2 linked regions of the Astyanax mexicanus genome follow. The protein of the gene in region 1 purifies or fractionates together with the protein of each later gene. This does not show direct contact. Links are inferred from orthologs where the notes say so. Each region holds a gene or a part of one and is shown on either strand. Other genes may lie near its edges. The genes, in order: actr3b and arpc1a.

The links.
Region 2: the proteins of actr3b (region 1) and arpc1a purify together in Homo sapiens (affinity purification with mass spectrometry; 5 studies listed by BioGRID and IntAct, counting the BioPlex papers as one, with this or other methods). This does not show direct contact. The link is inferred for Astyanax mexicanus from reciprocal best matches to the Homo sapiens genes ACTR3B and ARPC1A.

The regions. Positions count from the first base shown.
Region 1 is NC_064413.1:52,126,591-52,141,845, forward strand, and holds the start of actr3b (actin-related protein 3B), read left to right. Parts: upstream 1-8,907; 5' UTR 8,908-9,052; coding exon 9,053-9,096; intron 9,097-13,037; coding exon 13,038-13,093; intron 13,094-15,255. Other genes in the region: DNA repair protein XRCC2, read right to left, coding at 2,687-3,483, 4,848-4,929, 6,312-6,350. UniProt on the Homo sapiens protein: Plays a role in the organization of the actin cytoskeleton.
Region 2 is NC_064410.1:54,813,007-54,829,291, reverse strand, and holds the start of arpc1a (actin-related protein 2/3 complex subunit 1A), read right to left. Parts: upstream 5,799-16,285; 5' UTR 5,628-5,798; intron 2,826-5,627; 5' UTR 2,798-2,825; coding exon 2,734-2,797; intron 2,634-2,733; coding exon 2,529-2,633; intron 1,275-2,528; coding exon 1,052-1,274; intron 943-1,051; coding exon 835-942; intron 1-834. Other genes in the region: myosin-16-like, read right to left, coding at 9,445-9,642, 10,519-10,719, 12,983-13,153, 13,255-13,380, 15,222-15,425. UniProt on the Homo sapiens protein: Probably functions as a component of the Arp2/3 complex which is involved in regulation of actin polymerization and together with an activating nucleation-promoting factor (NPF) mediates the formation of branched actin networks.

The sequences.
Region 1 (15,255 bases):
ACAATTCCCTTAGTTCTCCAGTTAACAAATGCATTCAGCTTAAGCTACAGTGTTAATATATTTAAACGGCTATAGTTACTCATATTGTAAGGAGCAGCAGCAACAGCAGAAGCTGCAGGAGTTCTGTTCTCATGTTTTTCAGGCAGGACAGAGTGAGGATGCGTCCAAAAACTTTTGCTACTCCTCCTCTCCTACCCCCGAAGAAGGTGGAGGAATCGAGGAGAGGAGAGAAGGAGGAGGAGGAATAGAGGGAAGGAGAGGAGGAGGAGGAATGGAGGGAAGGAGCTGTAATTGGGAAATGGGACAGCTGATCCCTTTTGGATAGGATGTTGACTACCGATGAACTGAGCCAATCACAACGCTCACTTTCAGCACATGCCAGATACTGCCAAGCCAATCACAGCTTCTGGATAGAGCTCCACATACAAAAATAAAAATGAGAAATCAATAAACCCAATTCCAAATTCTAGAGATTATAACTTTAACAAGCATATCAAGCTTTAAAGTACAGCCCGATTAGCCATTAATAAAGGTTGCATATGTTATTTTTTTAATTATTTTAATAGTGAAATATAATTTCATTGAATGTAATAAAACAAATAAATATTAATAAATACAATAATAAATATTATATTTTGCATTCATGTTGAAGTGAAAAAAATATTAGTTTAAACAACATCAATGGAGCATTACTATCACACACAGCTAAATATTCAGATATTCCAATAAAATCACGCTTACTCCCAGGAATTTACTCCCAGGAATTCCCAGGAACATTTCTCCGGCCAGTGAAGCTGACAGCCCTGTCTGACCTCAGCCTTATGAGGGTTTCAGTTTCCTCATTGGTCCCCAAGTAAAAAAAAAAAAATAAATAATAATAATAATAATAATAATAACTAAAAATATATATATGTAAAATATACAAAATAAATAATAAAAAAAATACCGGAACAGTCATGTACAAAATAATAGAACAATTAGAGCCTTAACAAACTGAACTCTATCCTACTATAACAGTTAAACATGAAAAATAAGACTTTAAGACTTTTTCAGTCTCTGAGAATGAGAAGTTCTTTTTTCTTTAATAAAGATATATTATTAACTTTATCTGAGAGAAAGATGCTCCTTAAGGTACCAAAACTATTAACATATTTGAGGCTAGACAAAACAACTGTTATTTTTATATTTTCAAGTTTTTCTTCAAGAAGATGAGAATGTCCACATGTCTCTGGAGAAAGGGCTGCTCTTTGAACAATCACAATGTCAGCGGCATTGGCTACAGTGTGCTGCGCTATTTGCTGCGTTGCTTAGAGGGAGGAATCGTCGATCCTCTTTTTGACTTCGACGCTCGAGACCATGACATAATTTCGATCAATTCCGATAAAATATTGTGACACCCCTAGTATATATACTAGGGTCACTGAGGAGAGGAGGAGGATCGGTAGGAAAAAGTGGACACTTTTAGGGTTTCTGGACTGAGACTGAGCTGATATGCTGTTACTCTGCTTCGTTGCTGGCGCTGTTCTACACAGTGCTCCCCTCTGGTATACCATATGAACCGGAATACCGCCCAGCACTACTTCAGATTAGATCAAGAACAGTATAGTAGAGTAGAGTGTAGAGAGGGTTCCCCTGGTGTCATATAGGGCCATTTGTTCAAAAAATGTAATCCGGATCAAAATTATCCAGATTTGGAAATCACATTTTTTGCTATCCAGGATCAGGTGATCTGTCTTACTTTTAAGACAGTTTTTCAAAGCAATATTGGATTGGATCAACCTGATCCAGAAACACAGTTTTCAGGATTACCTAATCCGGATTACCAGCTATGTAAAAAACAGATAGAAGAACCAACAGGGGTTGATGACTCCTTTTCTTGCCGTAACAAGATACTGCTTATTGCAAAACAATACGAGCAATTGAGCGTTTAAATGGAGTTCTGCAGAGACGCTTTGCATGACTTAACTATTTGCGAGTCGAACCACAGGGAGCATGCAACATAACACTTGCATGTATTGTCCTGCACAATGTTGCTACCAGACGCAATGTCCCTCTCTGTGATGTTCATGATGCACCTGAGCCTGTTGAAGAACCAGAACAAACTCTGGTGTTCTTTGCAATTGTTCGAAATTATTTTTGACAGCTTCATATCTGATAAATGTTTCTTTGACATTAATATACAGTGATGAATGACAGTGACGTAGATGAAAAAATGAATATATTATTTTTGTTTGTTATTGAAATCTTTTGGGGGGTTTATTTAATGGGGTCAAGATTGTTTTTATTTTTATTTTACTATAGAAAAAGGCTTAATTGGTAGCCAGTGTCTACTTTATCACTGTAACAGTTAAACAGGTCAAGTGCAAAATAGAAGTAAATGTATGTACACTAAATTGTACAAATGTATTTTTTTTACTTTAAAACTTTGATTTTAAAGTTTTACCACATTTTCTTCATGAAATCCACTTTGAAATCCTACCCCTTGTTGGGATCAGGGTAATCCTGTTTTTTTGGATCAAAGTTATCCAAATCCTACTGGAAAGTTTTGAACAACAGAAACTGAAGGTTTGATCCATTTTCAAACTAGGACTGGATTACGTGATCTGATCCGATTTCTGATTGGCCACTGACTTTGTTTATTTGAGTTTATTATAATATAATACAGTGTTTTACAGAAACAGCACAGTCATTTTTGTAATTTTTCATCAATAAACTGAACGCCTCCTTCTGTGACATGAAACGTACATCTTTTCACGCCTTTAGTCCGTACAGTGCTGCACGCTACTGAGAAAACTTGTTTCTGGTCCACTGCCTCCAGACTCTGCTCTGATTTTGAGAACACCAGTCTGTGAGTCAGTATCTTTTGCCATGTTCTGCAGAGATAGGGCTTGTCGAAGTCCATAACGTTCTTCTTCCAGGAAGGCGTAGAGCCGCTCGCTTCTGACGACCCGTGTGCTGCAGAAGAGTAGTTCCTCATAACAGCGTGAGCTGTGGCGAACACCACGATGCCGTAGTCTCTCCGGAGTTTATTCAGCAGCTCGGCGCATTTCCTCAGGTTGGACTCCTGCCGAGCCAAACTCTCGCCCCCGCTGCTGCGGTCCATCCAGTAGAAGGCGGAGATGCTGTCTATGACAAGCAGGCAGAGAGAGGGCCGGCTGCAGATGGTGCCCTCCAGGTAGTGCAGCGTGAGGAGCAGCTGGACCGAGCTGGAGCAGTGGATGACGGAGAGCTGCCGCAGGCAGCAATGGACTGCCTCCTCCGTCTCTCTCTCGGAGCCGTCGGCGTTCTCATCCGCCGCCCCGGTCAACCGGGTCTCCAGTATGCTCACCAGCCGCAGCATGTCGAAGTGGTAATCTGTGTCTACGAAGACCACCTCCACTTCCAGCCCCCCGCTGTCCTTGGGGAGGATACAGTGGGTCAGTAGGTGGTACAGCATCTCAGTCTTCCCACTGCCTTCAACTCCGTGGAACTCCACAACATCACCTGCATGCAAAAAACAAAGTCAAACAAACAAAGTGTAGCTTTAGTTAGTAATTCAGTGGGAAGTGCTGCTGCAGTATCTGTCATAATAACATAGAGCTCTGATGATGGGCTTCTTTGATTTTACCAAATTGAAAACCTCTATATATACAATCAAGAGGAAGATGGATGATCACAAGCCATCAAACTAATGCAGCAGGAGTGGCATAAAGTTATCCAAAAGCAGTGTGTAAGACTGGTGGAGGAGAACATGATGCCAAGATGCATGAAAACTGTGATTAAAAACCAGGGTTATTACACCAAATATTGATTTCTGAATGCTTAAAACTTGAATATGAATGTGAACTTGTTTTCTTTGCATTATTTGAGGTCTGAAAGCTCTGCATCTTTTTTGTTATTTCAGTCATTTCTCATTTTTTGCAACTTAATGCTCTAAATGACAACAATTTTTTTGGAATTTGGGAAAAATGTTGTCTGTAGTTTATAGAATAAAACAACAACGTTAATTTTACTCAAACATAAACCTATAAATCGCAAAATCAGAGAAACTGATTCAGAAACTGAAGTGGTCTCTTCATTTTTTCCAGAGCTGTACGCAATAATATCGCCAACATTTTTTTATATTATATTTAATATTATTATTTTATTAATATTATATACTATTATACCCTGAAATATAGTGCCATATAACTCACCCCTATTTATCACATCAGGGTACCACCTTTTCGCTGTTTTTAGCAAAAGAAAAATTCACACTGTTCTGATTTCCCATTATACATCTATTAGAGAAAGATTTTATCTGTCCAGTATCATTTATTTTACTTTAATCCTGGATATATGAAGCTATTTCGTGCATTTTAGTGCATTATTATTAGTATCTTGACATTCTGGATCATTGACTTCTGTTACAAATCTGATAAAATTCTTTTTTTTTATTTTTTTTTTTATATCTCAGTTAGGGGTGTGCCATAGCATATTGTATGCAATAATAAAATGTAAATGTAATAAGCGCAGGATACTTTTGGCAATATATAGATTAGTCCAAACTCCCTAAAACGTACTGCCTCATTACTACATATGGTGGCACTACAATCAAATAGATAGGGTAAACCTGTGGTAAAGAATATTGGTTGATTTTCTTATGTGCATAGTGGATACCCCTTCTAATAAATCCATTCAGGTATTTTAGGTTGCACCTCATGTGCAGTATCTTACAGTGTCTGGGGTAAGATATGCACATAAATATATAAAATATAAAGTTAAAGAAGTCAAATTAAGTGAGAAAGAAATAAGAAAAATACATATTACAGATATATATATATATACATACATATATATATATATATATATATATATATCTGTTTTACCTTGAGCTGGACCACCGTCCTCTCGGAAAATATGTTGCTCAATGTCTTTCAGTGATTGTCGACCCTCGATTCTGGCCAATAGCTGTGGAATAAATAAATCCCTTAATTAAACTGCAGCACACAAGTGGTAATCAAGGGTCAAAGGTTGTGGAGACACTCATGGATGTTAAAGATATGCAAAAAAAAAAAAAAAAAAAAAGTCATGGGACAGCCGTATGTTATTTGAACTTGAAGTGTTACTTCTGCTGATGGCTTGTGAACACCCACACCTGTAAGAGTGGTGGGGTGCTATCCTGTGAGTGAGGCTGAACAATGTTTATGCAAGGTCAAGTAGTGGGGTATATATATGATAAGTGGGTATTTGAGATTACTTGATTCATAAAGTCATCTGTGTATCAGGGATATGTCACAGAAGGCATTACCACCCACAGTGGACAGTGCAGTGGAAGGTAATGATCATGGCCATTAACCTCTGGCCACAGAAAATAAATTTTGCTATGATCCAAACTCAAAAATAGCAAATAGTACATCCATTTTTGTAAAAGCGATAGACGTTCTTCACATTTTCGGCTTTTTAAAAAAACATAGTCCTTTAAGGAACCAAAGAACAAACCCTGACTACTTTACTTTGTATCAAAGTGTCACATCTTCAGTGTTGATCCATGAAAATATGGATATTTTCATGGGGTATTCATTTTCTTGAGATACTGTAACCACCCAGATATGGAAAAAAGACACTGAAACAACATTGGTCTGGTGTGTGTGTGTTAGAGTGTGTCAAACGTTATAAGTGTGTGTGTGCTTGTGTATGTTAGCATCTGTGTGTGTTTATATGTTAGTGTATGTGTGTGTATACATGTTTGTGTGTGTATATATATATATATATATATAAGAGTGTGTATTAGTGTGCTTGTGTGTTAGTGTCTGTGTATTATTGTGTGCCTGTGAGTTAGTGTGTTTTAGTGTATATGTGTATATGTTATTGTGTGTTTGTGTGCTTGTGTATGTTAGTGTCTGTGTGTATATGTTAGTTTGTGTGTGTGTGTTAGTTAATATGTTGTGTGTATATATGTTAGTGTGTGTGTATGTGTTAGAGTGTGTAGGTAATTGTGAGTGTGTGCATAAGTTAGTGTTAGTGTGTATATATTTAGTGTGTGTATGTTAGTGTCTGTGTATTAGTATGTGTGTGTGTATGTTAGTATGTGTTTTAATGTGTTAATGTGTTTGTGTCTGTGTATTAGTGTATTAATGTGTGTGTATATGTTAGTGTGTGTTAGTAAGTGTGTTAGTATATATATATGCTAGTGTCTGTGAATATATGTTAGTGTGTGTGTAACAATGATTTAGTGTGTAACAGTGTATTAGTTTGTGTTAATGTGTGTCCGTGTATTAGTGTGTGTGTATGTTAGATATTAGTGTGTGTAAGTTATATGTTAGTGTGTGTGTGTGTGTGTGTGTGTATACCTGAGCTCCACTCTCTGCCATCCTCAGCCTCTCGCTCATCCTTCAGCTTCAGCTTTCCCGCACAAACACCGCACTTCTACATCCGGGAACGTAACCCACGACCCGCCAAAATAAAAGTCCAAACCATAGCACCTATTAAAAAAAACACCGGTCATCAAATCCGGATCCAGTATTCATTCCAGGGTTTTATTATCACTGGATATTTAGGAAACTGTACTGTAAGCTGATTGGCTCTGCAGTGTCACACCTACTAATCACCACAAAACCCAGGATTGGATCTTGGAATCTGGATTTAGGATTTTGACCTAAAGCTACACGCAGTACCAGTCAAAAATTTGGACACACCTTAAATTCAGTGTTTTTTTTTTATTGATTTAAAATGTTTTGCATTGTAGATTAATACTAAACTCATCCAAACTATGAAGAAAAACATAAGAAATTATTTTATATGTTTTATATTTATTAAAGTAGCACCTCTTGCTTAGATGACAGCTTTGCACATCTATGCATTTTGTTTGAGAGCATCAGTTGTAAAGTAGTGAAGAGGTAGAGTTACAGGTATACAGTGAATAGTGAATATTTGAGTAATGATCTAATCCAGTATATGAGAAGCAAGAACTACTTAACTAAATAAAGAAAAAATACTTTAAGAAAAATGAATGTTAGTCAATCAAAAAATCAAGAACTTAAAAAAAAACATCCTTAAGTGCAGTCACTGCAAAAAAAACCCTTAAAACATTATGATGATGAAACTGGCACTCATTAGGACCACCCTATGAAAGGAAGAGTGAGAGTTTCCTCTGTTACCAGCATCCAGCATCAGAAACCACACGTTAACAGCTCCCCAGATAAGAGCACCTAAATGCTTCATAGAGTATTTTGGTTTGTTTAACACTTTTAAGTTTCTACATGTTTCTTAATGTAGGAAATATAATGGTTTATTAAAGTAACTTAGGATACATAATAACTACATACACACTGTATGCACCTATATAAGTGATAAATGGCTGTTATTGCTATTTTTAACCCATTTTAGACATTATCCCCATTAAAGCTGAAAATAATTTAAATATTAAAATGTGCAATTTCAGTATTTTACCTGTCACTATGTATTTTTTTTAATAGTGTAACACTGCCCCCTAGTGGAGGATTTAGGGGAATAAAGAAATAAAGAAAATCTTAAACTAATACATACAGAACCCCTGGAATTAAGCTGCACGTTATTATATTATCCCTTTCATATATCCCATAATATACACCTATATATGCATACATACACATACAAAAAAAAGTGTACATGTACACAGGAAAACAACAACAGTGGATTTAACCCATTTAGGCCCCGCATCCATTACAATAGACATATTAATATATTTTCTTTTTTTAGTTTTTTTTTTTTGCATATAACAGTATTTGAGAGCTGTTATCTATCTAAACAGAACTTAAATGTCTATCGAACAAGTTTATAAACCAATAAAACAGTAGTTTGGTCCTGCCCACTGCAAAAACACTGGTAAAAAACAGTAGTACAAGAGCCATTGAGGCAAAGTAACAGCATTTAATGTGATTTAGAACACTTTATTTTCATGGTTTATTTTACTGTTTAGGGTTTATAGCTTATTGAATGAAAAAAAAGGTCAGTACGAAATATTAAATATTACACAGAGGCTTCCAATGCAATGGAAATGGAAAAATATTAAACATTTTAGCTAATTAAATCATGGTTTCTTTTACTGTTTAGTACAGAGCCCCTAAGGTGACATCATGTTAAAAAATAGTGCATGGCCACAAATTATTAAGGAGTGGGAATAAGAACCTAATGCATGGGTACAAGATACAATGAGAAAATTAAGGCCTGGGAACGAGATAAATAAGGCTTACAGCTTATAGGTACATATTTAAGTAAAATGATCATTGTTGTTTTATTCTATAAACTACAGACAACATTTCACCCAAATTCCAAATAAAAATACTGTAATTTAGAGCATTTATTTGCAGAAAATGAGAAATGGCTGAAATAACAAAAAGATGCAGAGCTTTCAGACCTCAAATAATGCAAATAAAACAAGATCATATTCATAAAGTTTTAAGAGTTCAGAAATCAATATTTGGTGGAAACCCCCTGTTTTTTCACAGTTTTCATGCATCTTGGTATCATGTTCTCCTCCACCAGTCTTAAACACTCCTTTTGGATAACTTTATGCCTTTACTCCTGGTGATCTTCCTCTTGATTATATTCCAGAGGTTTTCAATTCGGTAAAATTGATAATAAAAAAATAAAAAAACACATTAATTATAATAGATGTCTTATTTTTTTCCCCCAGAGCTGTACATTTTATAGTAGAATAGAAGAAAAAAACATAATTCTTACATTTTTTATTTCCATAAATGGATATAATTCAGGTGTGAAAGGGTTAATCAGCAGTGCGCATTGTGCGTAACGCAGCGAGGTTCCCTGGCTGCTCCAAATTGCGCACAGCGTATTTTTGGCACCGTATTGGAGAGATGGGCGGATCCAGCATGTTTCTATTTTTTCCCTGCGCCCTTTACTCGGGAAGTGATCCCTCTCTCTCTCTCTCTCTCTCTCTCTCTCTCTCTCTCTTTCCCTCGAATAGAGGGATGAAAGCAGGAGCAGGGCGCGCGAGGCAGCGCTGCTGAGGCAGGGACGGGGCTGCGTCAGAGCGCGTCAGAGCGCGCGGGGCAGGCGGGGGCTGTTGTCACGCTGGTGGGGCTGGCCGGACATGGCAGTGCGCTTACCTCCGTGCGTGATAGACTGCGGGACGGGGTGAGTGAGTGAGTTTGGGCTGTTTATGGCTGTGGAGCTCCTGCTCTCTATCCCTATGCCTCTCTTTCTCTCTCTCTCTCTCTCTCTCTTTCTATCTCTCTTTCTTTCTGCTGAAGCTGCTGGTGTTGGTGGTCTTCGGGGACCCTCTCTAATGTCAGCAGCAGCTGAAGCTGAAGCTGCAGAGCTCCAACACTCTTTACTATGTGCGCAATGTCAACTTCCAGCCTCCCCCAGCCTCCACTGTTCTGTCCTATTTCTTGGCAGAGACAGAAATGGGTCAGCCCTGTTGGTGACCACTCTAAAACCGTGCCAGCTTTTCAATCTCGCTTGTGCTTATGCTGATTTTTTTTACTAACATACAAACAAACACTTAAACTGGCCAACAATTGAGCTTGATCTGGCTCTGGTGTTTTTTTTTTCTATTAAGCCATGCAGAATTACAGGGAAATATTGTAAAAAAATGTACTGGGAAAAAATACTCTATATACAGTACAGTATTGTGCAAATGTTTTATGCACCTGTGGGAATTTCAATAAAGAAAAAGCTTCTTATCTGTGAAATAAGATAAAAACACCAGCATCACAATAATCTCCTAATCTCTCCTCCTCATCTGAGTTTAATAGAGTTACTGTATTTCTAGTTCTCATCATATTAATCAACACCTGGTTTGGTGAATTACTGGTAAATGTGGTAAAACAGGTGAGCTGCTGACGGACTTGAACATAATATACACATGCTGGCTGAGGAGCATCCAGGAGAAATCTGAAATCTCTACACTTTGTTCTTCAGCTTGGCTCACAGGATATAACATTAACGTAGTTAAAAAACTAAAATTCTTGTTACGTTTTACTGTATTTTTGTTTATTTGCATCTCTTAAAATCATATGCGGTGCTTTTATTTTAGGTAAAAACACATGGATTGCTGAGATAAATGAATTAGTGTCATTTGCTTAGGTGCCTAAAACTTTTGCACCTGGACGTTCCAGTAACTTTTTTCTGTAACTATTCTTTGAAAAATTGACTTGTGTGCTTAGGGTCGTTGTCTTGCTGCATAACCCACATTCTTTTTAGTTTCAGTTCATGGACAGATTTTCTGACATTTTTTCCTTTAGAATTCTCTAATACAGCTCTGGAAAAAAATGATTTTACCAAATTGAAAACCTCTGGAATATAATCAAGAGGAAGATGGATGATCACAAACCATCAAACAAAACTGAACTGCTTGAATTTTAGCACCAGGAGTAAAAGCAAAAAGTTATCCAAAAGCAGTGTGTAAGACTGATGGAGGAGAACATGATGCCAAGATGCATTAAAACTGTGATTAAAAACCAGAGTTATTCCACCAAATATTGATTTCTGAACTCTTAAAACTTTATGAAAGCTCTGCTTCTTTTTTGTTATTTCACCTATTTCTCATTTTCTGCAAATAAATGCTATAAATTAAGATATTTTTATTTAAAATTTGGGAGAAATGTTGTCCGTAGTTAATAAAATAAAACAACAATGTTTATTTTACTCAAACATAAACCTATAAATAGCAAAATTAGAGAAACTGATTCAGAAACTGAAGTGGTCTCTTAATATGGAAATCATGGTTCCATAAATTAAGGCAATCCGTCCTGCCCAGATGCAGCAGAACAGGCCCAAACCATGATACTACCACCACCAAGTTTCACAGATGGGATAAGGATATTATGTTATAATTTAGTGTTTTCTTTTCAAAACAAAAGCGTTTTCTTTTGGTCTCATCTCTTTTTTGTATAGTTTTTTTATTGTTTGTATTTATATATTCTTGTACATATCTTGTAATAGTTAAACTTTTCTTACTTCCCCTATTATTGTTGTCTGTGCTTCTGTGTTGTATTCTGTAAGTGCTGGTGGCTGCTAAATTTTCTTTGGGATTAATAAAGTTCCTATCTATCTATCCATCCATCCATCCATCTCATTTGTCCATATTTGTATTAAAATAAAAATGGGAAACGGGTAAGGGTTAACCAACATGACCAAGCATGACCAAACCCAGATTCAGTATATGATAAGCTGGTCAAGAGCCTGTTATCCAGCTAGCTTACCAGTATAGGATATGTCTGCACCTATAAGACCACACTGACCATCAAATACCAGCTTAGACCATTCAAAACCATCTGCCAGCAGAAGCTAATGTTGAGCACCCGTGGGTTTTCCCGCAGGAGTATGACTGCACTCCTCACAGCTGATGATATGATATATTGATATACTGTACAGTGAGTGAGGTCTCATAATGTGCAGAGATTAATGATTTGGCGTAGAGTGAAGACAGAGTCAACTTAGGTCAATAGTCAATTAGCTGATATGTGATGCAGTCTGACATCCTCTAATTTACTCACTGAGAATGATACTGAGGGTATAATAGGGCTATAATAGAATAATGTAATAAAGCTGTAATGTAAAAAGGGCAGTAATTTAATCATATAATCATTTATTTTTTTATAAAAACTGTATGTGGTCTTTTAAATAGAACTGGTGTGATTATATACAGTATCAGTGAATAGCAGGGGTGGAAAAAGTTCTGAAAAATTGTAATTAAGTAAAATTATTATTTTTATTTGATGTAAAAAAGTCAAATCATAAATTAAATCGTTTTTAATGAACTATTATTCCACATAATAATTTGGACCTTTCAGGTAGTATTTTTTTAGACCACCCCATGATCATTAGCTAAGGTATTTAGGTTATATTCGCCTCAATTGCCTGTTAACATCGCGCCGACAGATGCATTTCATACAGATTTCAGCGAATTTAATATACTATTAATTTAGGCATTTATACACGTTAGTCGATTAATAAACATACAGGATAACAAACACCTTTCATCTCCATTAACCTTCAATATTTTTCAGAAAACCTGAAATTTCCGAAATTCTGTCAAAGAATTTGCTTAGGTTGTACAATTTTTAATAAAGGGATTATTGTGCTGGATATTTTACTAAATACAGAAGATTGTATAATCTGTGTAGCTGCATGTGAACTGAGATTACTAGTCTTTATAAAGTAGATCTACAGCTAATCAGTGAATTTAGAATATATAAATAACTAACCACCGCATGCTTTCGCAAGTTTTGATGTGGAAGTTTTGAAAGCTGACAGCTCTGTCTGGCATGGCACATTTTACATTGCATGAGGACGTTACTGCCTCGTTATTCCACGCGCGAGCATCCGTGCTGCGGCGCATTGTGCAATTTTTTTTTTTTTAATTCAGACAATTGTTTTTTTCCCAGCATTTTATTTTTCTCAGTATTTTCTCAGTAACAGGGGGTTTTTCAATGTAGCGAAGTAAACTGCTTGTGTCAAAATGAACTTGAGTACAAGTAAAATTACCTAATTTAAAAACTACTATAAAATTACAAATTACTCATAAAATCAACTCAATTACAGTAATGTGAGTAAATGTAATTTGTTACTTTCCACCTCTGGTGAATAGAGTGCTGGGTTGTTGATCACAGTAAGTTGTGGGATCATTGCTCTGGTACGCTAAGCCGCAACTGTTGGGCCCTTGAGCAAGGCCCCTAACCCTCTACATGAGCGGGATTCGAACCACTATGCCACTATGATTGGGAGATTGCTGGTTCGATTCCTGTTCATGTAGCTTGCCATCAGCTGCCAGAGCCCTGAGAAAGCACAATTGACATTTAATGTATTTATCAAATACCCTTATCCAGTGCGACTTTACCTCGTTGTTTACTTCAAAATATTCATAGCTAGTTTGTAGAGACTAGAATCAAGAGATACACAGAGCTTGATAATGTTTAGAACCCAAGGAGAATTTTTTTTTAAAGATTTACCACTGGACCACTCAGAGTCAGCATACAGTTTTTTAATGTGAAATAACCGTTATTAATTTTGACATGCAGCACTGTATCACTGCTAATGTTATGCTAATGCATTATTGTGTTGTGTTTCAGATACACCAAGATCGGCTATGCAGGAAACACAGAGCCACAGTTTATCATGCCGTCCTGTAAGTACTGTGGTTTTATTACTTTTGCCATGTTCCATGTGAGCTAAAGAACGCTGCTCTGAGCTGTGGGACATGTGTGTGGGGTCTCCTGCTTTGATTGTGGTTGCGATTTTTGAGTTTACACATGGACGCTTTTAGCCAGATGCCACAGGTCACGATCATTACCACTGCACTGCCAACTGTGGGTGGTAATAATGTCTTCTATGATGTACTCCTGACACAAATGTGACATGGACAAATGGATTTCTCAGGTGTGGGAATTCATTGATGAGTTGAATTTGGATTTGTGTTTGAATTGAGATACTGTGTTAGTACTGGACTGTGAAGTTTGGATGCAGAGTTAGGCTGCTATATACCGTATACAGTACAGGCCAAAAGTTTGGACACACCTTCTCTTTTTCAATGCGTTTCTTTATTTTCATGACTGTTTACATTGTAGATTCTCACTGAAGGCATCAAAACTATGAATGAACACATGTGGAGTTTTATGTACTTAACAAAAAATGAGCTGAACCTCCACAGTCACCGGACCTGAACCCAATCCAGATGGTTTGGGGTGAGCTGTAGCACAGAGTGAAGAAGACAAAGGAGCAACAAGTGCTAATAAACACCTCTGGGAACTCCTTCCTTCAAGACTGTTGGAAAACTTTTCATTTCAGGTGTCCACCTCTTGAAGCTCATTGAGAGAATGATGCCAAGAGTGTGCAAAGCAGTAATCAGAGCAAAGGGTGGCTATTTTGAAGAAACTAAAATATAAAACATGTTTTTAGTTATTTCACCTTTTTTTGTTAAGTACATAAAACTCCACGTGTGTTCATTCGTAGTTTTTATGCCTTCAGTGAGAATCTACAATGTAAATAGTCAATAGGCAATATAATGTATATATAGTTTGTATATACAACCCCCCTCCCCATCAACCAAACATGAACAGTTCTGATGCTCCTCTTCTCCAGAATACTAATCTGTTTCACTTGTTTATTTAGGCCCGTTTCTCTCATTACCACTTTGTGAAGTATTGCCAACCTCCTAGAATTGCGGACCAAGCTTTATCTTGTGATTTATCAGTATGTGTACTGATTTCAGCCTGCTTTTTGAAATTCCCACTTTTGGTTTTGCCCCTATGGTTTTGTTAGTTTTGACACTTTGTTCACTTGGATTTTGAGCCTGACTCTGTTTTGGTTGCTTTTTTTTTATTACTTTTTTGAATTTTGATTACTTTTCTCCAATAGCAAAATCACTCTTCGATTTGAATCTAGACCAGATTCTAGCCCAAATGCTTGGCTTAGATCTGGGCTGACTCCCCGGTTGCTGAGTATAATATGGCAAATGCTGGTTAATGATTATACTGTGAGAATTGACGCTTGCTGCTTATTCCAACACACCTGGCTTCTGAGTATAATATGGAAATCGGCACATAGCACTTTTCGACAACTCTCTGTTTGGTGAGTATTAATCACATTTTATCAAATTCTGCATGATTTTCTGATCCTAAGACTTAATATAGTGTATGTACTTGGGTTGTTTTGTGGCATCACAAAAATAGTGAATTATTGTTCCTTTATGAAATAGGAAAATGATACTCCCTCACATAAACATGTGTCCACTTTCATCTCTGTGGTGAGCATCTTTGACCAAAGCAGGAAGCAGGTGAATCACAGTGTTATGGTGCTCTAGTGGGAATGAAGAGATTTCTGGATCAGGGTTTTAATTGAACCATGCCGTAGGGAGGTGCTAATTAAAGCTGTCTTATCCCATATCTTTTATTTCTCCTGCAACCTTCAGGTATGCACTGCGCCTGTCTGTATGAGCTTTATAGAACTGTACATCCAAGCTTACATGAACTCTAACTGCTTCCATTAGTGGCGCTGATATACTCCTGAATATATAAAACCTATGAGAATGTATAAAGACTTTTTTTTTATTAATTTAAAAGTTGTTTGGCCAGTGATAGAATAGTGAGTCTTGGTCCTTTCAAGGTTTTTTCCACCTGCAGCTCTCAGGGAGTTTTTCCTTGCCTCCGCACTCACTGGGGGTTCTGTATTCTGTATTTTCCATGTGCAGGAGACGACGGGATTCACGCCGGCTCTGCTTATGTTCGGGCGCGAACTGAGGACGCCGGTCTCCCTGGCTTTTGGGGCGCCTCCTGACGGGAGGACACGCCC
Region 2 (16,285 bases), on another chromosome or scaffold:
TTTTCTGGGGATGTTTCTCTTAGATTATAGGACGATGGATGATCACCACCTGATTGGATAACCTTTAGTCCATGTGTGGCATTTGACATGGTACCAATAGCTTTGTGTTTATTTGCTCCAGACAGTCTTATTCTGTTGGCTTCTCTACAGGGACTAAACACACAGTGTGCATTTGTACATCTGTATCAGCAATTGGTGTAACTAACATTTTTTAAAGGAGTGTCCACAACCATTTGGAAATATAGAGTAAAACAAATATTGTTATTGTCACTGTAACAAATCAAAATCAAATTTATTTGTATAGCACATTTTACAACTGATGTCATAAAGCAGCTTTACAGGACAAAGAATCAGAAAACACTGAACCCTCAGTGAGCGCTGGGGCAACACAAAAACCTTGTATCTCTGATTATGCCACTTTTTTATTATTTGACATACTCTAAAACTTCTTAAAAAGTTGTTATAAAAATGTCAGTTCACTTGGCCGGGCACTTATGTCTGTTTGAATGGGGGGACGGGACAGGGGCTTTCCTACCAGCATGCTGACACTCCTACAGTCTACACACAAGAAGCAGCTGATTGGCTCTTTTTGTTAAGGGCAAGACTTTTTCCATAAACAGGAGCAATTTTTAGCATTACAAGAAATCCCATTCATACATCCTCACTAATAAGGTCTCTGCTTATAATACTTTTTTTTTTCTTTTTTTTCTGTGAAGCTATAAGGAGAACCTAGACTTTACACAGGAGTGATATGATTGCGAGTAGTCACGTGCCCATAACGGGAATAGCGGACTCTCAATGAAAATTCCAGGTAACCGTGAGACTCAAACTTACCTGCATTTAAAGTCACATGACCCAGCTGCCAGAAGTACATTGTTTGGATGCCAGTCAAGACTGAGGACAGTGGAGCGGATAGGCTTCTTGATGTGTTTGCTAACCCACCTTTTTAAAAAACATAGAAAGCATATTTATGCACAGAACAGCTGCAATGTGATCTGTTTTAAACTGAAGGCTCCTAAAACGTTCACTAGAAGCTCCAATTCAGACTCACCAGTCATTTTCAGACTCAAAGTAGCAAACAGATATGAGGCGAGCTCCACTGCCCACTGCAAACTTATTCTCCAGTGGAGACCACTTCACAAACGTGGCAGCACGGTTGATCCTGAGGATGACAAGAGTGGGCTTCCAAACGCCGTCCTTCTGGCTCCACACGTAAGCATTGCGATCCGCTCCGCAGGTTACAATCCGATCGCTTTTAGGAGCCCAGTCAATGCCTAAAACAGTTGTGCAACAATGATGAGCTCACATCAAGTCTAGGGTCATGTTTTGTCAAATGTAATGATGGGACACACTACAGTGCTGTAAAAAAAAAAATATCACCTTCCTAATTTCTTCTATTTTTGCATATTTGCTACATTTAAATGTTTCAGATCAAACTGCTTATTTTAATAAAATATAAATATAAACAAAAGCTAAAAGCTTTACTGAGCTTTCTGATGTTTTATTCCCACCTGGATTAAACTTGTCTTGTTTGAGGAAAGGACAGGATGTGTTAATACCTACTTTTTTTTGCACTAATCTCAGTGACTATCTAATTATTTTAGTCCCATTCAGATTCATATCATTGTATTTCCAGGCAGATGTTGCTTCACATAATTCTTTGGACAAAGGTTTTTGGCCACTATTATCTGCCATATTTAGTCTCAGAGTGCATGTATGTGCTAAACACCTTAAATTAATCAAGCTTGGTACCTGGTACTTGGTTCCTTTTTAGTACCTGCCTGCAAGTGGTTCCAAGTGAGCAGAGTAAGACGTGAGATGAAACTGTCTGCATTGTGCACTGTGTTGAACCAATCGTTTACTGCTGTTGTGAATGTGATTATATGCCAATGTGAACTAAATACAATAAATTAGCTCAAACTTTGGTGACTAATTACTGTCAGGATGCAAGTTTGATCAAAAATGAGAATGTACAAAACAAATGAAATAGATAGCCTTATTTGGATTGAAAAAAAACTAAAACAATCCAAATAAAGCTAACCATACACTAGATGAATTAAAAAGACTTTTAATAGATTAAAGTCTGACACCCTCTCACACCTAAAGACAAATCACAGACTTTTTAGTCAGAGACTAAGATTTTGCAAAGAATGGGGATCTTGCAGGGACATTATTTTGCAAGACTGCAACTAGATTCTTTCTGAGATTATTTTACATTTATTAATGTATACTTTTCCACTTTGTCTTGGTATAAATGGGAAGACAAGTCAAAGAGACACTCTTGCTCACTCCACAGCTCCACCAGTTTCTCCTCCTTTCTGTACACTCCAGAAGAACTTAGGTTTCCAAAACCTCGCTGGAGTCTTATCTATGTCCAGTTCTGAAAAACGCTCCTGCGTTTACCTTGCGGCTTCTCTTAGCTCTGCTATTGGATGTTGACATTTTTTTTTTTGACAACTGTCTTTCTTACTAAGGATTCAATTCGTTTTCACATCACTGCAAGAAAGCCTAATCAGAGAGGCGCTTACCTGTGATGTGCCCATTGTGTTCTTTTAACTCGTGAGCTTTCACCCACTGATTTCCACTCTTCTTGTATATATGAACCTCGTGATTGTTTGGACTGATAGCAATTTCTGAGAAAGACAAGCAGAATGAATAATTTCTCAACATTACAGTGTAAATGCCAGGCCATGTTCAACACTCTGGGAGATGATTAATGAGTTGGCTACTTACGAGTCCTGTCCCGGTTCCATGCATGGCATGTGATGGGTTCCAAGAGAAACTGGTGGAGTGACATTTTCTTGTATTTCTTTTTTTTTGCAGCCCTGAATAAAGAAACATGCCTTAGTTACATACCATAGTGTTAACAGAATGAAATTCTTTAGTGCATTACCTCATAGCCATAATTAAATAGGAAGCCAACTAGGGCTTCTCAATATAGGGTTTTAGGACTGGAGGCAAATTCAGTCAAACCTTTCTTAGTACACCTTTTTTGCTGCTTGAGTCATTCAGTGTTTTATTTTTTCGATGACATACCAAACTGTACATACACATTACATTTTATTTTATTACATACATGCACATATAGCTACTGATTTATGTATAAAGTGTTTAATCATGTCTTTACTTTTAATGATGTCTCTAGTCTTTAGCTTATGTTGTACAGTTTCCATCTATAACCTGAATGTTAATGAAGGACTAGCACTGTAAGAATGTAAAGTTTCTTCTTCTAATTACTGCTATTATAAGTATTATTTCCACCAGTACCCATCAATAATTTCAGTATTCCTACCATCACTACTATGCCTATAGCTTCAGCATAGCAAAAAATGGTATGAGGTGGTACAAAGACTTTTATCAAAAATGTACAAGCAGTTATAAATTTGTCTTGATTCCTCCCAAATTTTCTTCCTTCTCATTACTGTGACTGTCAAATCTGACTTGCTTATTATTTGTTCTTACTTTTGGATATCTGTAAAGCCACTTTGCAATAATATTAATAGCATGACATGTTGGATCATTAACCTGCCTGTCTTTTAATATCTCAATATATACGGCAGAAAATCAATTTTATAATATTATTTTGGCACCAAAATAAACCAGAGAGTAAATGGGGTCAGTTTAATGCTTATCAGTTAACTTTAATGATCATTTATGACTAAATTCAATATAAATTATGATTATATATTGAAGAGGAAATTGGATTTCTTGTTACAACTGTATTTATAATTGTACCAAATGATGACAAAAATAAAATAACCATCAAACCATGCGAAAATTAAAAATGTTATTGTTTATAATATAATTGTATATATTAACAATAGCACTAAAACGGTTAGAAACTTGAACCGACAGCTACATGTTTTACATATTATTACATATATATATTATTTTTCATTTTCAATTTCTGACCCTAACAATCAAAATTTCAGGGAAAAAATATGATGGTATAATCTGATAGTATAATCCAACCCACTTTTGTTAAAAACACAAAAACGGAGCAATCAGATAATTGATTTTTTCCCCCATTTTTTCCCCATTGTGACTGGCTGAAAAAAAAACTATAAAATATTTTTTATTATTCCACAGGGTAAAACAAAATAATAATATATATATATATATTTTTTTTTTATATAATTTTTCATTTTCAATTTCCGCCCTTTACAATTTAAATTCTTATTTACTTATTTTTTTACCTTGCAACAAAAGTAGGATGAATTATATCATCAGATTTTTGTTACAAGATGCAGGAATCAGATAATCAATTAAAGGCTTACTATATGTTACACTGACCCATTTTTGTAACCCCTCACAATTTGAGATTCACTTTACTAAAATTATGCCATCAGGTTTTCATATTATACCATCAAGATGCAAAAATGGATCAAAAATCAGAAAATCATGTAATTTAGATTGTGAGGGCGGAAATAATGATAAAAAATACTAGAACAACACTTCAAAAAATGATGGAAACCCATTTCTTCTTTAATATACTAAATGGAAAATCTGACATAACCTTTTTTAATAATATATATTTACAAATTTATCCTCAAACAGTCAGAAAACCAAACTGCAGTCCAACCAACCTACATATCTAGTTATACAGGTAGCTAGTTAGCAAGCTTAGGTTAGTTAGATAGCATTAATGGCAGCAAAAGGAACAGCAGAGTCAGTCACTGAGGGCCTAAATCGCTTTCAGTCCCTCACCAGAGCTTCTCAATACTCAACTGGATGTTTTTAGACGAAGCTAAGGTTTCTCACAAAACCTGCAGAACCAGAATAACTTCAGTAAATGTCCACTTCTTGGTTTCAGGGCGTGGATCAATATCAGCTTCTACTGCTGGAGCTAAGCTAACGTAGTATCTAGCTAAGCTAGCTATGCGGCTAATTGTTACAAGCAGGGCTATATCTAGAAGTGTTGACTCCAGGTCCGGAAGGTAAAACTCCCCTCCCAGGATTTCGTTCCAACTGTCAGGGCGCCTCAGCTGCAGCTGTGCCGCCCTGGCAGTTGGAACAAATCCTGGGGTTGGATTTTTACGTTCCGGACCTGGAGTGAAGATTTCCATCAGTACCAAGCCAGTATCAATGCTCTAGATATGGAAACCCACAGCTAAACCTCATTAGAATCGTTAAAATAGGACAAAGTAAACATTTGTCTTGAATAAAACCTCCTTAATCGTGTTTTAAGCGAAATAACACCCATTTCCCGGCGCTAATTTTCACCATAAAGATGGGTGGGCCTCGCTCTGTGGTCAGCAGACCGGTGTTCTGTCGAGTTGTGCTACCCGTTAATATATGTAACGTCAACGTTCTGCACATGCGCAGACCGAGAACTGTAAACGTTTTAACGTGTTTCTTGATCATAGATGGATGTTTCTTTAATAATCTAAAGATTATGTTTTATTTAAGAATAATCAGAAAATTAGCGAGGCGTTACAAATAAGCACAGTACACCACGGTAGCCCGTTTCGACACGGTTGCACAAATTGACAGTACACCGGCCAAACCCCTCCGATATGCCGGCTCATCCCCGCTCACTCCTGCCTGCTCCCGCACACCCACAGCCGGGCCCGAGGCCTGCGCCGCTCCGCCACAGAAAACCGACAGCAGCTAGATACCCCCGATACCTGGATGGTTGTTGCGGAGGTGAGATATCCGCAGACGCCGCGCCGCTGCTTCGCCTTTTCGGACGGACTTGAATTCGCGGACTCTGGCCAGTCGACACGAATCCACTCCGGCTGCTCCGCTTGAACTCGGCCTGCCCAGGAATCCGGGAAATGGCAACGACACTCTGGACAGACGCGCCGCACTGCGCATGCGTACGCACAGCAAACGCCGGGGACGAGCGAAAGGGAGGGAAAAGCAGTGCCATTCAATATAGTGGAAAATCTGGACTAGGCTTTTATTCAGTGTTTGATATAAAAAAAAACGTTAAAATGTAGTTTAATAAAATAGCTATTTGTCCACTGACACGTACCATCATTACACTTTTGGCACGAGTTTCCACAGAGATCCACAGCAGCCGTTTACACAGAGAAACACAGCAGCGAGTGGAAATGGAGGAGCTACTGAACAGTTTTATCACTGAGTAGAAGTGTGAAATATTTTTCACAGATGTCCCCCGGGAAACTAATCACATCTGGGTAGGGCTTAGGGCTAGGTTCACATTACACAGATGTCTACATCATATTAATACTCCCTGATGCCCGCAAGGGAAATATTACAGGTTAGAGAGAGTCAGAGATGTATGGTAATAAAGTAGAACCATTTCACTACTGTACTTAAAAAAAAAAAAAACATAGCACAAACATAAAAAAAAATGTGTTTTGGTAGATTATTTTTGCTTAGTAATAAATCGTATACCATGAGAAAGCCTTGATAAAATCCTTTGAACCTATGGTACCCCAGGTGCCTCCTGATTGCGACCTGATTGGCAGCACCAGTGAGCATAGGTTCTGCTACAGTGGTCAATAGGTGTCGGCTCCAGGAATCAGCATCATGCCACGTTTAACTGATCTGGAAAGAGCCTGTGCGATAGGGCAATTTCAAGCTGTTGTCCCACAAATCCAAGTTTCTGTATTATTTGTAGTCAGCCCTAGTACCATTTCCGAATTAAAGGCCAAGTTCCATATAACAGGGGATATCAAAGACAGGCCACGAAGTGGGCGTCCCAAGAAGATTGTGCTTGATAATAAAAAAAAAATCGCACTGAAATGTGGCAAAGCCTGCAGTTTTTTCTTTTGTAAATTCTGTAAAATAAGTAAAAACATTCTCACACCCAACATATCCAGTCCCTGTAGAGAAGTACTGACAAAAGAAAATGACTTAAGCCTATTGGTACCATGTCTAATGCTAGGCCAGGGCTAGAGGGGTATAATCCCACTAGTATTGACCTGTGGAACAGTGGAACTGTGTTCTCTGGAAGGATGGAGCTCCATCTAATATTAATGGGATGAGGTGGGGTGATAAATCAACATCCTGACTTCTTTAATGATTTTGTCACTCAATTAAATCAAATCCTTACAGCAACCTCAAGCAGAAAGCACAAACATAAACCAAAAATGTGTTTGGTAGATTATTTCTGCTTGGTAATAAATCTTATACCATAAGAAAGCCTGCTACTTCTTTATAAACTTTCTTTCAGCTTATGGTCTGTAGAGGACTACTGCCAAAAGAAAAGGAATCTACATGAGACTATTGGTACCATGTCTAATGCTAGGCCAGGGCTAGAGGGGTATAATCCCACTAGGATTGAGCTGTGGAGCAGTGGAACTGTGTTCTCTGGAATGATGGAGCTCTAATGTTAATGGGATGAGGTGGGGTGATAATTCAACATCCTGACCTAACTAATGCTTTTGTCACTGCATGCAATCAAATCTTCACAGCAACCTCAAGCAGAAAGCACCCCTGGATAGTAGAGACAGTTACTCCAACAAAAGCATGATAAACTCTTTTTAAGACCCCTGATTTTAGAACAATCAAGCAGAATTAAGCAGATGTTCCAGAAACTGTGCCCTTGTTGGTGACCATATTAGGTTTCTAAAAAGAGAACACTGGAATTATCCACTGAAGTTAAGATGTTGTGGCTATGGGGCTTTAGGTTGTAGGATTGTGGCATAATGTACATCATTAAAAATACAATTATTTTAAAAACATTTACAATATTTAACTTTTGCTCTTTATATTTTATATTTGTTCCCTATTACTTCATTATACATATTAGTATTTTTTATGTATGTAGCAAATTAACTTTTAGCTAATAAATAGCCTTAGTATTACTAAACATATGGCTAAACAATCTTCTTTCATTTCAGCTTACAAAATAATAATAAATCATACATAAATAAAATAATGTCAGATCACATACAGCAGTGCTGCTGGAGTTTTTTAAACCACTTAAAGTCACAGCTGGACTGAGAATAGTCCACCAACCAGAAATGAAAAAAGGGATATACTGTATAACACAAATACTTTCGATTTCTTAATAACTGAAGAACACACAGTAATCCTTGCTTAAAGTTTATTTTGATAATTTTTTCTCATGACAGGAGAGTGACAAACACAGGTGTACCCTCTATCGTTGACATGAGAGTGCAGCTTCCCCCAATCAGACCCCATTACTGAAGACCATTTCTACACAGCTTCAGATCAAACCCATCACATTCATCTAACACACAGTACAACACACACACACACACACGCACACACACACTAGTTAAGACTTTTCAGTTTAGCTTTAAGACTTCGGTGAATCTCTCTAATCTCGTCCGCTGTGTAGAAGGTCTTCCAGTGGGGAATGAGTGCTGGTCTGTCCGTCACTCTGAGGAGAGAAAAAGCATAAATGAGTGTTATATCACAAAGTGTCAAAACTACTTAAATCTAGACAGTTCAAAACAGCTGATTTAATTTGGACCTTTGTAAAAATGTATATTTAATAGTCTAATAATAGTCTTATTTATACAGGGTTATTATTATTTTGTTATTTACACTTTTTAGTTATTTTATTTACCCTTAATATTAAATTATTATAGATTTTTACTGTTTTATAGATTTACTTCTATGTATATTTTTATGTCTTGTTTTATTTTCCCTGCTATACATTTAAATCTTGAATTCATTCTTACTATTATAAATCCTTCCTGCTGTACAATGCTCAGCAACATTGTAAATGGGAGTCACCCTCAATGTATTGAAAGTGAGAACAAATTGATTGATCAACATTAAATGATGCGCAGAATTATATTTATTTTTTATTTTTAAACTTTACCCTTGAAAAATTAGGCTTTATTCGTCTAACCTAATTTGGTACTAGTTATAGTTAGATATATTTATGTACTTAAATTAGCTATTTTTTAATCAATTTTCGTTTCATGGTTTTTATGTCAGTGTCAATAAATAATATTACAAATATTTGCAAGAATATGACTCATACATATTAGTTTATAAGTTGTACTTCACTAAAAATGCATTTAAGTGCCCTAAAGTGAAGTATATACTCAAAGTATATACTTTACTATACTAAAACAAGACATGTAAAAGTTCAGAATAATTGCATAAATATCGTAATTATATTCCAATATTTCACATCATAATATATTAAGTATGCTATTAATGAGCACAGTATTTGCTGTAAAATAATGTTTTATGTACACTTTTAAAGTATATTTATTGTTCATTTGGGCAGATAAACAAAAAAATAGTTAAAATGTATTATAAGTGGTTAAAATAACATATGACCAGTGTATTCACATATATGTATGTATATACGTATATATTAAGAACTTAACATCATTTTAATTACATATTGGAAGTGATTTACTATAAATTAGCAGTTCCAAAACTATTTCAGCACAATGTGAGAGTACATTTTTACAAGCAGAGGAAAATAAAATAGAAATAAACTCTATTATCACTGATGCTAACCTCCTGCATGGGTCAGAACTCTTACTCCTCTGAGGAACTCTTGGAGGTTTTAGAGATCTGCACGATCTCTACGTTAGTAAAGCCCTTGGTCACTGAAGCACGATTCCTGGTTCGGAGTTTGTTCAGAGCCATCTCAGCATTGCCCGCTCTCTCCTCAGCATCATCCAGCTCATGCACGGTCTTCCTGTACTTAGACAGACTTGTGTTGGCTTGCTCCTCCTGCAACCAGGCAAAAAATACAATTTACAGCAGGAGGATTTTTACAAAACCTCTTTTTAGTGGTAAAAAGAGAGAAGTATCGAGAGAAGTATCGACTCTCTGTCAATTTAGCAGCATTTGTTCCAGATGTAAAAAGCTCCCTTTTCAAACTGACTTTTGGTACTTGTGAGGTAAATTCATAATGAGAATTGCACTGCTGACAAATTCATGATTAAAGTAGCTCTGCTGAGGTAAATTTATGAGTTAAATATCACTGTTGGGGCAAATTAATAATTTGAACAGCTCTGCAGTGGTAAATTCATGATTTTAATAGCACTGATGAGGTAACTTATTGAAAAGAATAGCACTGCTGAATTAAATTCATGATTTGAATAACACTGCCAAGGTAAATCAATGAATAGAACACCACTGCTGTGGTAAATTCATGATAAGAGTAGGGCTGCTAAGGTATATGCATGATTAGAATAGCACTGCTGAGGTAAATGCATGATTAGAATAGCATTGCAGAGGTAAATTCATGATTTAAATACCACTGCCGATGTAAATTCAAAATTAGAGTAGCACAATTCATGATAAGAACAGCTCTGCTGAGGTAAATTAATGAATAGAAAAGCACTGCAGAGGTAAATTCATGATTAGAAACTCTGCTAGGGTAAATTCATGATTAGAAAAGCTCTGCTGAGTTAAATTCATGATTAGAAAAGCTCTGCTGAGGTAAATTCATGATTAGAGTAGCACTGCTATTGCACAACCAGGACCTTCCTGGTATTTACATTTACATTTCAGTACAGTACAACACATATTTATGTTCACATGTTCCACATCTGCATGTATGATACATGTACACTAAAGCGCAAAACACAGGTATGCACTCACAGCTTCCTCTATCTGCCTCTTGTAGGACTTGAGTTTGTTCTGCAGTTTCTCCACCAGTTCCTGCATGCGCTGGTTGGTTTTGTGGTCTTCTTCAGTCTGGAAGATCAGCTCCTTCAGGCGGCGCTCGTTCTTACGCAGGACCTTCACCGTCTCCACATGTCTCTTCTGCTCCACATCCAGCTCACTCTCCAACTCCCTGACCTGCTCACAGCAAAAAGGGGTTAAGCTGTGGGGGTTTGAAATATTATGCACCAAAGACCATTAAGGAATTCATATTAAACTAAACTGTATTTTCCAGACAGGAATTAACCATAACCTAACCTACACTAAATGTTCCTTTCAATGGGAAATGCAAAAAGCTGTGTAGCCCAAGACTAGGCTTAATCACTGTTTAGGAAACTGACCCTTAGTTTTTATCCATACTGCTAATCAACTGCAACACAAAGCTAAACGTTCAAGTTTAAAATAAGTCTACATTAATAAAAGCTAATTAATTAAAGTCAAATCAGTCTAAAATGCAGCAGTGAAAGCTGTAAAAAAAATTAAAAGCAGTAATAAACATTTTTATTGGTTGTCTCAACATATTTTCTCAAATAATTATTAATTGACATTAGTTAAGACATTATTATACATTACACATTTTTGGAAAAGACCACTTAAGTTCTGAATCAGTTTCTCTGGTTTTGCTATTTATAGGTATATATTTGAGTAAAATGAACATTGTTGATTTATTCTATAAACTACGACAACATTTCTCCCAAATTTCAAATACAAATATTCTCATTTAGAGCATTTATTTGCAGAAAATAAGAAATGGCTGAAATAACAAAAAAGATGCAGAGCTTTCAGACCTCAAATAATGCAAAGAAAACAAGTTCATATTCATAAAGTGAATATGGTTTGGTTGAATAACCCTGTTTTTAATCACAGTTTTTTTTATGCATCTTGGCATGTTCTTCTCCACCAGTCTTACACACTGCTTTTGGATAACTTTATGCCACTCCTGGTGCAAAAGTTCAAGCAGTTCAGTTTTGTTTGATGGTTTGTGGCCATCCATCTTCCTCTTGATTATATTCCAGAGGTTTTCAATTTGGTAAAATCAAAGAAACTTATTTTTTTTATAACTTATTTTTTTAAAACATTTAGAATTGTATAATCATGTTTCAACTAATGTCAATTAATAATTAGTTGAGCCAGTATGTAATCATTTAACAATGTTTATTACTGATGTTTTTTATTTTTTAAAGCTTTCACTGATGCATTTTAGGCTGATTTGGTTTTATAGGCACTTTATAGACAAAGGCATTAATTGGTCCAGTATTGGAACTCTTGCTCATTCAAAAACTGTTAGATGTTTGGGGACAGCTGTTTATTTAGTGTTGGATTCAGCTGGATTAGAGCAAAAAGAAAGGCTCAGTTTGTGTTAGAAATAATTATTGGATGCAGTCAGACGTGTACATTTCCACTCTGAACCATATGTTTCTCTAAACTAGACTTTTTGGTTGATGAAGATAGAGTTTGTTAATTCCAGAGGTTCTGCTGGGTAGGTTGAAGCACAATGAGCAACGACTGTTTTTTAAATTAGCTCTGAAAAAATCTCTGTACCAATCACAAAAACCCATATTGCTGTGCAAGGAGAAGATATTTGCGTGCTTATTTCTGATTGGCTCTTTGAGTCATATAAAATCAGCAAACTGTTGGAGAAGTTCATTCAAAAAAGATGTTCTGGTTCAGTATGAAAGGTCCTGTAGTGTGAACATAAGAGGCAGGGATATATATGGGCGAATTAAACACTTCTTCCAGTTTAAACTGACTTCCACAAGGTAATGTTTTGTAAACTGTGGTGATTGGTTGCTCAGTGTTACTGATATGTAACCCTTTTGTTGCTTAACTTGTAGTATTAGCAGCTAGCTGTTAGGCAAGCTACTAACTTGGTTAGTAGCAGCTAATCGCTAATCTCTCCTAACACAGACTTAACCTTGATACCCCTCTGCATGTATTTTGTGTTTCATTCAATAAATATACATTATGGGAAATCTTATATTGTGTTGTTTTCTGTTGAAGATGCATGCTAAATTTGTATTACTTTACTAAATACATCAATTTAGCCAGTATCATTAGCACTGGATTTAAAAATATGATTATCAACATGCCCACCCATTATATTCTACTGCCCCCCAAGCAATGCAGTCTAGAACTGGGGCTGTTGGTGGGGGTAGTTTTATGGAAATCATAAAACACTGTAAGGATGTTTTTTTTTTTTTTTTTAATGCAGAGTTTTCTAAAAAATATTATTTCTGATCGTCTCCTTTTTGAAAAGTAGGGGGCGCTGTAGAACCGGCCCTAAGCCTCCAATACTTTATATTTCCCTCTGTGTGTGTGTTTAAGTCACTGTAAGTCAGTATGAGTCAGTGTATGTATAAAACAAACTGATAAGCAGAAACAGGTGTTATCTAGGACTCACCCTGACTTCTAATTTTTGGATGGTACGTTTGCCTGACTTTAAGGCTAGCTCCTCTGCCTCTTCCACTTTCAGCTGCAGATCTTTGATCATCAGCTCATTGTTCTTCTTTATCTTCTCCAGATGGATGCAGTGGTCCTGCTCCTGCCGCAGTTCCTCCGCCATACGGGTTGCCTGGAGAAGAGATGAAAGAGCCATTAGAGAATTTGTAAGGATCTGTTTCCTGCGTATTTAAAGGAACGTGGAGAAGTTCTCAGACTGAGTCCAGTACTCACATCTGTGATGGCCTTCTTGGCTCTTTCATCAGCAGAGCGGAACTCGCTGATCAGCTCCTCGTTCTCGTTTGAGACTTGAGTCAAGTCTGCTTCCATTTTGCGCTTGATAATAATTAAGCTCTGGTTCTGTGGGAGAGAATGTGAAATATGTACAGTAAGAAGTGTCAATAAGTGTGGTTTTTTGTTATTATTTATTATTATTATTATTATTATTATTTATTTTAGTTCCATTTTTTAGTTACTTTTTTATAATTGTGGTTATTTTAGTCCTTTATTTCTTTAACTGTGCTTATGATTTATTATTCTACGTATTTTTCTATTTTTCTCTTTGTTTCTGTTTGCATTTCCTTTTATTTTTAATTATTTTATTCTTTCTTAATTAAATCTTAAATTATTTTCTTGTTTTTATAATTCAAACTTCATTTTCAATCCCTTTTATGTAAACGTGGCTACATTGACAATGAGGGTTACCCTCATTGAAAATAAAGGTTGTCCATGCTAGAAGACAAGCATCTCTTGCAGAAATTACATCCATATTCAGAGCATAAGACCCCACAAACACTGTAAACACTATTAATTTAAATCTAATTGAGGTAATTTGTTGCCTCAAATGTATTAAGTTTTCAAAAAGCCAGTACTTGACACCTTTTTAAGTTAAAGTAACTATTGCACTACTGGTTTATCTTACTTGTTTAAGTTTATTGCAATCATTATATTAAGTTATTTTCACTTAATATATGCACATTGTAGTTGTTTTTATAGCCAGAATTATTATAGCCTAAATTAAAGGGGTGCCACAAAAAATCAAAATAAACACTGACATAAAAGTTAAATTAACATAGACTCACTCATAGACTTTTCTCAAAATCATTAATTCACATAAATAGAGCAATAGAGTAAACAGTATTGAGAGAACAGCCAACACAGAGTTGTGTCTGCAGCTCAGAAAATGATGCTTGTTCTTATAGCCTACAACACAGAGACCAGTCTGTTAACCATAATGTATGATCTTCAAGTTTACCTAAGGTAGCCCAGCAGGAATTACTACACACTAATGATGAGAGTTACTCAGAAAATGGGGGACACACCCAGTATGCCTAAACTCAATTATAAGTTGGTTCCATTCAAAAATCTCCATTTGAATCCACAGCTCCGGAAAAAAAAGAAAGCACTTAAAAATGATGAGTTTCTTTGATTTTACCAAATTGAAAACCTATATATAATCATATAGGAAGATGGATGATCACAAGCCATCAAATCAAGCTGAACTGCTTGAATTTTTGCACCAGGAGTAAAGGCATAAAATGATCTAAAACCTGTGTGTAAGACTGGTGGAGGAGAACATGCCAAGATGCATGAAAACTGTGATTTAACCAGGGTTATTTAATCAAATATTGATTTCTGAATATGAACTTGTTTACTTTGCATTATTTGAGGTCTGAATTTGAGCCATTTCTCATTTTCTGCAAAGAAATGCTCTTAATGACAATATTTTTATTTGAAATTTGGGAGAAATGTTGTCCGTAGTTTATAGAATAAAACATCAATATTCATTTTACTCAAACATATACCTATAAATAGCAAAATCAGAGAAACTGATTCAGAAACTGAAGTGTTTTTTTTTTCAACAGTTGTATATGTGACCACAAATGTTCACTTAACTCAAAATAGTTGAGTAATGTTTAGAAACATCTAATTTTATGTAAAACAGACTTAATTCATTTGAGTTTAACAACTTATGGGTTTACAGTATACACATCCCATGGGTCACTGCTGCATTCTTTAGCTTTGGTACTACTTCCTGTCCCACTTTAACTTTAGGATTGCAGTGTATATACTGTACAGTCAAAAGTTACCTTTTTTCTGCATTGTAGATTAATATGCAGTGTATATTTTGTATTGTATGTTAAGCCATTAAGATGTGTTTAATCAGTGAATAGTGTGCTGCTGTAGTTTGTGTTGTATACCTGGGAATAGAGCTCATTATGGCGCTCAGTAACGTCCACCAGTTCCTGCTCCATCAGCTTCCTGGAGCGCTCTGAAGCTTCCAGGCCGCTGCGCAGCTCCTCTATCTCTGTCTGCAGCAGGCAGACTCTGCGCTCCTGCAGGCTGTAGTGCTCTCTTAGCTCCTCGTGCACTCGTGCATCTTCATCCATCTGCATCTGCATATCCTGCCAGAGAACCAGAACATCTGCTGAGACTCCAGCTCCATTATACAGAACTGCAATCCAACCAGTACACTATATTATGTGCTATAATATAAATATGTGTATTATATGCTACAGTACAAATAGACTGACCATAGGATATATTATAACTGTATTACATGAAAAGCACATCTATATTATATATTATAATTTAAATATGTATAATATATGCTACAGTACAAATAGACTATAGGATAAATCAAACTGTATTATATGCAATAGTATATCTACAGTATATTGTATGATTTATTATAGAACTACATTATATTCAATAGCATTTCCATAATATACGCTATAGTATAACTATAACTAAAATGCTAAAGCATATCTATAACATATGGTATAGAATGCTTTAAATTATGCTATATATCACAGCATTATATGCTATTGTGTTCCTAGGGCTACATAATGTTATAACTATATTATATGTTGTATTATAACTTTAGTATACAGTACAATATATCTACAGTATATTATATAATGTAGTATAACTGTAGTATACAGTATATTATAACTATATTATATGGTATACTACAACTATTTTTTTAAATAACTCAATTTTGTGATATATACTGCATATATAATATTATGTGCTGTTTTCTATATTAAAAGTATAGCATATTCCATAATATATTTCATGTACTGGAGTATAATTATATTTTATGTTATAATAATGATATTTTATGTTATCATATAACTCAAGATATGCCATAATTGTGTGCTATAGTGTAACTATAAAAAAATATATAGTATATATACACATTATATGCTGTAGTGTATAATCTTTTTATACAGTATAGTATAACTATGTTTTATTGTGTAAC